Oryctolagus cuniculus: one gene and its partner. The protein of the gene in region 1 purifies or fractionates together with the protein of each later gene. This does not show direct contact. Links are inferred from orthologs where the notes say so. Each region holds a gene or a part of one and is shown in the gene's direction. Other genes may lie near its edges.

Region 1 (4,351 bases):
GTGGCTTAGCGCACTGTCGTTTAGTGCATGGAACTAGAAGATTTTATTGGAAATGAGAAGTAAAATGTTTGTCATATAGCAGGTTTAAACGTTTGACGTATAACGTTAAAAAGCCAAAGCACCCAAACCGTTGCGATATTGAGTCCATTTGCAGGTTTCAGGGTGTATGATCCACAAGGCACTTCATCAGCACAGTATTATGAACACACACAGTGAAGCGTACACCGACTGTTGTTTCAAAGTCCTCTGATGCATGCAGGCAGGCGAGATGCACTAGCTGCACTGGTTTGCTTTCATTCATTCATTCATTCATTCGCCTTATTCTGAGGCTCATATTCACACTACATGACTTAGAATGGCTCAGCGCACTTGGCCAGAAGCGAATTCCTGCCTTAACAGAGGGGCTAGGAACGCTCGCGACGCCTCTGCTGTACTTAAAGGGGGCGGGGGAAAGCAAGTCAGTTTTCAACGATTTCTTGCGATGCATTTCCCGTGGCTCGGGCCGGAGAGGAAGGCTGCGCGGCGAGGGAGGCGATTTGGCACTCCCGATGACAGAATGTCACGTTCGCCACCGTAAACATCCCACCTCTGAACGAGAAAGTGGGTGCGGTGAACGCGCGCTCGCCAGCCCATCTGGCATCTCATCCGCGGGTCAAACTTTCGCCATCCACTGGGGTGGATCCCCGCGGAAACGCGGCCGGGAAGAGAAACGCCGTGGCCGCGGGCGGCGAGCTTGGCTTAAGCAGCATTGGCTTTGGAGTTACCTGATGGCTTGGAAGCTATTGCGCCCGGAGAACGAGCTTCTACGTTCCGATTCGTGGGGAACTGCGGCACGAGCTGGTCCTGGGTGTGGCGATCCGAAAGGGAGCTCTGATTCCCTAGCTTTCCCGCAGAGGGACCGGCAACTTGGGACCGGCGCAGTCCGGCATATCGGTTACTGCGGGTGGACCCGACCCCCGGGCCGCTGCAGATTACAGAAGCGCCAGGCCGGACGCGCCGTGCGTGCGCGCTTCTCCCGGGCTCGTTCCACGCCTGGAGGCGGATCCCCTTCCCTGCACACAAGTCCTTATATGCACCGGTTGCACCAGCCCGCCTTACTCGAGCCCCACAAATAATTAATGGGGGAGGGAGGGCGTCGCTGTCTTTTTCTTTTCCCCTTTCTGCGCCCCCCCAGCTCTAGAGCATTTGAATCCCACCGAGAAAACCCAAGAGGCGAGGAAAGAGCCATTTTGCTGCAATGCCCGAGTTGGACACACAAAAAAAGAGCTTGAGCCCCCGCGATAAGCCCGGCAAGGGTCAGGGACTGCCCCGCCGATCCGCCCCGATTAGCCCGCAGGAGCCTGGGCGGGAGGGTGCGCGCCCCTCCCCCATCCACGCTGGTGTCGAGGGACCGGGTCAGGAAGCGCGGCCTCTCCCCAGTCGGAGACCACGCCTCCTCCGCCTCCCCCCTTTACTCCTCCCAGGAAGCGGTGATAGACAGTTCTGTGTGGTTCTCCACCCCCACCCCCCAGCTGAGTGGAGGAGTTGATGTGTCTCATTATAACAGCCAATGCAGCCGCCATCCACGCACAAGCAAAGAAGCATGTCCCATTTAAATACACCCACGCAGCTCCAGCGCCCTTAGCCGATCGGGGCGCGCAGCCCACACGCACCGCGGCTCCGGGCTTGGAGATCCGCGCAGGTTGGGCTCCCGGACCCGGCGGACCGGCGCACGGAGGCTTGAGATCGGGCGCTGAGGGGCCGGGGTGGGCGGGGGAGGCTGGGCCCGGGGCCTCTGGCTCGACACCCGCAGGAGGACGCGAGTGAAACAGACCAAGGTGGAATTTCCAAGGGAGAAGCTTTGGGGTGGCTTTGGTCCATTTCTCGGGCGAAGAAGTAGACATGGCGAGCGACTCCCCGGCTCGCAGCCTGGATGAAATCGATCTCTCGGCTCTGAGGGTGAGCAGAACGCGTTTTTCGCATTTCTTCCCAGGGGTTTGGGTCCGGGGGGCGGGGTTGGGGTGGGTGGGTGGGGGAGAATGGGGTCGGTGTGTGGTCTGGGGGCTGACGGGCAGCTGCGGGAGAATGCGACGGGGACCGACCCCGGATTCGCGCTTGGATTCGGGGTTGCCGAGGCGCTCCGGGCTGAGCCTCTATGGCAAGGGTTGTGCGGAACGTGTCCCCCCCGTTGGCTGTGGCCGACGATCCCCCGAAACTGCTTGTGGAGCTTATGGCAGTTTCATCTTAGAGCAGTGTAAGAGCATTAGAACGCGAGCCTCTGTGTGTGTGTGTGTGCGCGCGTGTGTGCGTGTGTGAGCGCGCGCGCGCGTGTGTGCACGCTCCGGGCGGTCGTCTCGTGCCAGGGCGCGGGACCCGACTGTCCCTTGCTGCAGAAACTAGAGCAGCGCGCATACAGGCGCTGGCCCCTCACGTTCGCCAGCTACCTGCGAGATGACACCGTGAGCCTGGCCGGCCCGGCGAGGCCGAGCCTGCTGCTCCACGGGGGCAGTTATTGCTATGCGGGTCTCATAGATGGCAGCGGCCGCCCCTTCCCCCCGCCCCCGCCTGGCGCGCCCGGGCTCCGGCTCCGCGCCTCCTTCCACGCCAGCCTGCCACTCACCTTTATTTATGGCTTTAACCCAGCCCTGCCTGTGCTTTCCGACTTTGTGGCTGTGGCATGTCAGCTTTATGGCTGAACTTGGGCAGGTGAAAGGGATGGGTTTGCCGCTGTTCGCAGTCGGACCGGAACTCCCTGGAGTGTGTGTGTTTTCCCCGCGTCTGCGGCCGGTCCTTTGTGGAGCACCTCCCTCCCGCAGCCCGCGGCTTGGCGTTGAACCTCCGCGTGCATTACCTCAGACGCCGTGGCATGCTGTCGACTGAGATATCGGCGATATAGAATCCATTTTGCTGTTGTTTGGAGACCACAGTTCCAGGGCAGCCTCGACGCCTCCCCCTCCCCAACCCCCAATCTCAGCATACTCCTGGGGGGGAGGGGAGGGGAGCAGAGCTTTCTTCTTGCCATTTTAATTAGATGCTGCGGGCCAGGGAGGGGTGAGGGGTGGGTGGGAAGCTGCTGGCAATCGAGGGGGCCTGAGAAGGATTGGACGCCCATTTAAGGTCCGTTTGTTCGTCTTGCGAACCAAAAATACAATTGGAGAAGAATAGCAAGTGCACGTACTTGCGTGGCCAGATAGGGTCAGGCGTGCAAGTTCACACGCCCTCCTGAGGAACACATTGTTAGGTGGATGCTACATCTCCGGCCAGGTACCTGAATCCCTAGTACGTCGGACATGGCCTCTTCCAACACGGGTATTTTTGAGTTCCCTCTGTGATCAAAGTGGCACTTTGGTCTCCTTGTCCCTCCCTTTCCCTACCTCTTCCCCTCCCCCCTCCTGTCCCCCGAGTCCCTGAGGTGAGGTTTCAGGGGGATGCTCTTGGAAACAGGCTGTAGCGGTAGTTAGGCAGCCACAGCTCGGGCATGCATTAGTGCACTCAGCTGCCTCTCTGGAGCTGAGAAGCCACAGGCAGGGCTTTCTGCCCCTTGGGCTGTGGGGGTGGGGACCGGGAACCGGGTGGGTGCTTGGACCCGGGCTGTGGCTTCCTGCTTTGCGGACTGTGTGTTCTGTTCCTTTGCCCTACTTTCTGCACTGGGAGTTGCTGCCAGCGAGTTAATCAGGTGGATGAATGAGGAGACCCTGGGAGGGGCCCGCCGCAAAGGAGAAAGGCATCTGAACAATGGGCCAGGCTGGGGAGCCCAAATCTTGACATTGCTCTCCTAATGGAAAATGCTCTGCTGGGATTTGAAGTTGGGTTCGGATTTGTTTCCTAGTGAAGGTTTTCTGAGATCCTGAGCCCTCCAGCTCGGAGCCTGCGGGCGTGGGAGCCACTATGAGGGCTCCCCCCGGGGGCTGATTCGCAGGGCCCCTCATACTCTGGGGAGACCCGTGCAGGTGCAATTTGGCTTCGAAAAGGAGAATTTTGCATGATTTACTGAAATTGCTCTTTGTGGCCTGGACAGCCAGCTTAGTGCTCTCTGCTTCTGTTTTTCTGCCTGCCGGAGGTATGGAAAGAGGGAGGGGAGCAGCTCCGGCTAGTGACTGGGGAGCTGCTGGCCACAGGAAGTGAATGCACAGGTGGAGACAGCTGCATCCCCAGAGGATGGGGGTCTTTGGCCAGCCTTGGGGTGGCTGAGGGGTGCGGGCCAGACTGGGTCCAGAGGCTGCAGAGGTCATCGCCACAAATCAGAGTGCAGATCAGCTCTGCCTTCCCAAATTGAGAGAGGTGGGCTCATGGACAGAAGTCTCACTTGCTCCTCTGCTCTTAGGAAAGCCTGCCTGCTGAGCGCTCCCTGGGGAATGCCTGACCCCTGAAA
Region 2 (4,585 bases), about 36 Mb from region 1:
TTGATTAATGATTCTTTGTCTTAATGTAGAAGGAAAGTAAAATTTCTCCTTACAGTGATAGTTTGGGAAAAATGTAGCATTATTGACAAGTATGAAATATAATTGATGTGCTTGTTGTTGATATTATTGTTACTCTAGAAATTTATCAGCAATAAAAGACAAGTACTGTTTTTAACTATCAGAAAACATCAAAAACTAAAATATAGTGTACTTCCCAGTAGTAAATAAAGTATTAGAATATTAGTTTCTGAGCTAAAGCATTTACATTGTTTTAAAGATAAATTGGTAGTTGTTGCTGTGCCGTTTAACTGTTGGGATAATGTTTTTTTAGATTCTAATTTTTTTGCAAACAGGACCATTAGTTTTTTTTTTTGTTTTCTTCCTTTTTTTTTTTTTTTTTTTTTTTTGACAGGCAGAGTGGACAGTGAGAGAGAGAGAAAGAGAAAGGTCTTCCTTTTCTGTGGGTTCACCCAACAATGGCCGCTGCGGCCGGCGCACCGGGCTCATCCCAAGGCAGAAGCCAGGTGCTTCTCCTGGTCTCCCATGGGGTGCAGGGCCCAAGTACTTGGGCCATCCTCCACTACACTCCCAGGCCACAGCAGAGAGCTGGCCTGGAAGAGGGGCAACCAGGACAGAATCTGGCGCCCCGACCGAGACTAGAACCCGGAGTGCTGGCGTTGCAGGTGGATGATTAGCCTGTTGAGCCGCGGCACCAGCCAGGACCATTAGTTTTTAAATGGAAGGCAAATCAGAATGTGATTTTCTTTACATAGTTGAAGAGACCAGTGTTAGAACCAAGAATACTTCTGGTTTTGTAAATACTGAACATTTATTGAAAGCATGTTGATGAAAAGTATTGAAGGAGAGCAAGGTAACTTCTTTCAAGAAAGTATAACTCATAGTGATGAATGCACAGAGAATACTAGACATATCTATATAGAGTTTTTGTTCCTTTTTAGTTTGTTTTTAAAAATTTATTTGCAAGGCAGAGAAAAAGACACAAGAGAAAGAGATCACCAATTAGCTGGTTCACTGCTTACACTTCACTCCTCATTGTGAACAGAACCCTGCTGAAGCTGGGAGCCAGGAACTCGTTCTGGGTTTCCCATGTGGGTGGCAGGGTCCTTTACCCATTACTTGCTGCCTCCTAGAGTATACAGAAGCAGAGCTGAGACTCAAACCCAGGTACTCTGATAAGGGATGCTGGTGTCGCAAATAACTGCTATTCCAAACCACTGCCCCTGTTTGTTTTTAATAGGATCCTGGTGTCTGGAATTAGAGAGATGTGATAGTAGTTACAAAAGATAGTGAAAAACTATTATCTTAGAGCAAACAGGACAAATATGCCAGTTTTAGTTATTGTATATAAATCTGAAAGTTAATTAGAATTAATTTTTATTAATATTACTAGGAAATTTTCCATATTTTCTGATATTATTGAGACAGTTTTAGCAAGGTTTATAATTCTGTAAGATTTAAGAAATCGCTGTTAACTTTATTACAATATGATGGTTATTACTACCTTTATTTCTGGGTGCTTGGAAATATTGGTAGTATATAGTTACATAGTATAATGATGTAAATCCAACTTATGCATTGGATAACCTTCTTTTCTTTAGCATTTCTGTGTCTCTTTTTGGTAACTCAAATGTCTTATTTAATGGGTTTGTTTCACAGTGATTGTGCTGGTGGAGACATTGTTTGAAAGTTTAGGAAAAGGAAAAATGAATGCAATAGTATATTTTTAAGTGTTAGAAAATGTATAGGCTTTAAAACTCCTTCTAAAGTAAGTGTGAAGAATAGGTTACTTTTTTGACCATTATGATTTACTTATTTTACAGATTCTGTTATAGTTTATGGGGAAAAAAGTTTTGGAAAGAGAAGCTTCAGAAAAGCTTTCTGTTGCTTGGGTGTGGGCCAGGTCACATGGATTGGGTGTGGGAAGTTTCAGTGTTGCAGAACAGACCAGGAAGCTCCCTGAGAATTATCCTGAGCTGTGTTAACAAGCTTACAAAAGAGAACACAGAATTTGTATTCAAAATGGAATGGTTAAACGTCTTTAAAGATTTTTTCAGTAAGTTAATCTGTTTATTAAATCTGTAGTTTTCTTGTTACAGTTTTTGGATTAGATTTTTCCTTTTTGTGAATTTAAAGGGAAACCGTAGAGAGAACTTGTTCGGTTTTTATAAGCTGGTACTTTTGTGTTGTTTCATACAAGCTAAATTATTGATCATGTATCAAATAACATTAGTTTAACTGCGTAAGATAATTTTTAAATATTTGAGTATGATATTTAAATAACATATAAGGAAAGGATAAAAATGCTTGGGTTTCATACAGTTCTAGTTCAATAATTTTCAGCTTAGCACAAACATTGACGTGAAATCAATGGTAAACAATTAAAAATAATTAGGTGAGCAAACTCCATATTTGACTTCTGAGTTAACATGATATTGCTTTACTACTTTTCACTTACAGTAACAGTATAAAGAATGATATTTAATGGAAAGTGCTAGTAAAATACTGAAGAATTTAATATTAAAAGAGTGTAATCCATATGTCTATTGATGACTTTTTATGATCTTATGATAATGAGTTTGATTTGATCTTGAGTATTGGTGTTTCTAGAAAAATGAGCAGAGGAATTATTGTGCAAGATTTTTATGTACGAAGAGCCTGAGAAGCAAGAGTTACCTGGTGAGAGATTACAGAGAAAAGCACAAAACAAAAAAAGAGTAACCACTTTCTCTAAAAAACAAACAAAAAGTGACTACAATGTGAAGATTTATTTAGTTAGTTAGCTGTGGTGTCTAAGTGAGTCCCTCTGGAATATGTCTCTTAACTTCAGTTTACTTTTTGAAGTGTTATTAAGTCAGATCTTTGCATTTCCATTTTTTGAATGATCTTTCCTTTTAGAGATTTATTGGTTTATTTATTCATTTGCTGATGAGCCATTTTTCATTGAGTGCCTACTATAAGCGAAGATCAGAGTAATAAAAAAAGAGGGTGAAAAGAATGTTGTATCACCAATACAGAGATTCAATATATTTCATCTTAACAATGCAATGATAAAATTAACATTTTCTCTACTGATCTTATGGAATTGGTAGTTAACCTTAAGTACATTTTTATACTGAGGTTCAGGATTTGAGATTTGTAGCCATATCATTCCTTTCTTGAGTTCTTGCAACACATTGAAGTTTATACATCTCTTGCCAGGTAGCTCATCAGGAGAGACAAGGCTAGGCTATTTATCAATCTACTCCTCAAATGGACTTAAAAAAATAGAGAAAAAAAGGATATGGTGCATCTTGTGTAATAGCCAGAATACCCTTGAAAACAAAATTGCTCAATGTTTTAGATAAAATAATAAAAAAATAATATGTGTGGATGAAATAAACAGGTGAAAATACAAAAATTCAAATAACCCATGATGGAAAGAATACCATATATTTGGTTTTAGAATTCCTTAGTTCTGTTTTCTGATATACTATTAACCAGCGTTATGACCTAGGGTATATAATTAAAGCTTCCTGATTTTCTGAGAGTTGAGTAAGACTAGACGATCCTGGAAAGTCCCTTCTAACTCTAAAAGTTTTATGGTCCTGGTGAAAATAGATGGTCATGTGTATGTCCTAAGAGTTGGGGGAATCTGTTAGGGAGAAATTGGTTTTGAGGAAGCACATAAGAGCAGAAGTATTGTTCAATAAGCAATTAGAAGAAGTAGTAATACTTTCTTGGTGCTCATTCTGCTTTCTATTATTCAGTCATTCAGATGAAGGGGAAATGACATGCCTAAAAAGTAGGGAAGACTAATACTGGAAAATTTAACATACATTAGATTCACAGAATATTTGAAAATTTAAAATCAAGATATAAATAAGATGTATAGGAACTGGCAGTAATATAAAATGTTGCATGAAGTTTTTAAAGAAGTTGAAAAAAATGCTGAGAACTTATCTTGGCAACAGTTGATATGAGTGAAAGACTGAGGAAGAGCTGCTGGGTAATGTAGGTGGGGAAGTCTCGCACAGTCCATGGTGGCATTGGTTCAAGTTTGTGGGATGCTCAAGTGAAGGGATGCAGTAAGCTCCCTTTTGTATGTGCTGGGGCCAGATAAACTATGATGTAGTTATTCACTTTGGATAGATACCCTTTAATGATGATATTGAGACACTCAAATGCTTCCAAACACGGACATCCAGTATATCAAGGATTTGCAAGCCAAGTTGCATAAAGAATAGTTATGGGTACTGAGATTGTGTCAGGAAGAGGACAGATATCACACAAAGACAGAATGTTCAGAATGCTTGATCATGTTCTTAAACTTTTGAGAAGTTTAATAATGCATTATTTTGCTTAAAATGTAGTGCTGTAGGAAGAGAAGTGTAAAACCAGTGGAGATGAGAAGATTGAAAGTTGTACTAACTCTTCTGGAACAAAGCTAATGTCTGCCTCAGAGTTGTATACTTCCTCAGTGCTTAGATCTGAGAATTTCTCTCTTAACTCCACAGTCAGATCCAACTATATAATAACAAAGGTTCAGGTAATTAAATTGAATACCAGAAGCACTAAGAGGTAGGAA

Evidence for each region.
Region 2: the proteins of TNIK (region 1) and NCK1 purify together in Homo sapiens (affinity purification with mass spectrometry; 3 studies listed by BioGRID and IntAct, with this or other methods). This does not show direct contact. The link is inferred for Oryctolagus cuniculus from reciprocal best matches to the Homo sapiens genes TNIK and NCK1.

Annotation. Positions count from the first base shown.
Region 1 is NC_091435.1:108,838,392-108,842,742, forward strand, and holds the start of TNIK (TRAF2 and NCK-interacting protein kinase), read left to right. Parts: upstream 1-1,478; 5' UTR 1,479-1,881; coding exon 1,882-1,938; intron 1,939-4,351. UniProt on the Homo sapiens protein: Serine/threonine kinase that acts as an essential activator of the Wnt signaling pathway. Recruited to promoters of Wnt target genes and required to activate their expression. May act by phosphorylating TCF4/TCF7L2.
Region 2 is NC_091435.1:144,688,870-144,693,454, reverse strand, and holds the start of NCK1 (SH2/SH3 adapter protein NCK1), read left to right. Parts: upstream 1-1,591; 5' UTR 1,592-1,821; coding exon 1,822-2,074; intron 2,075-4,585. UniProt on the Homo sapiens protein: Adapter protein which associates with tyrosine-phosphorylated growth factor receptors, such as KDR and PDGFRB, or their cellular substrates. Maintains low levels of EIF2S1 phosphorylation by promoting its dephosphorylation by PP1.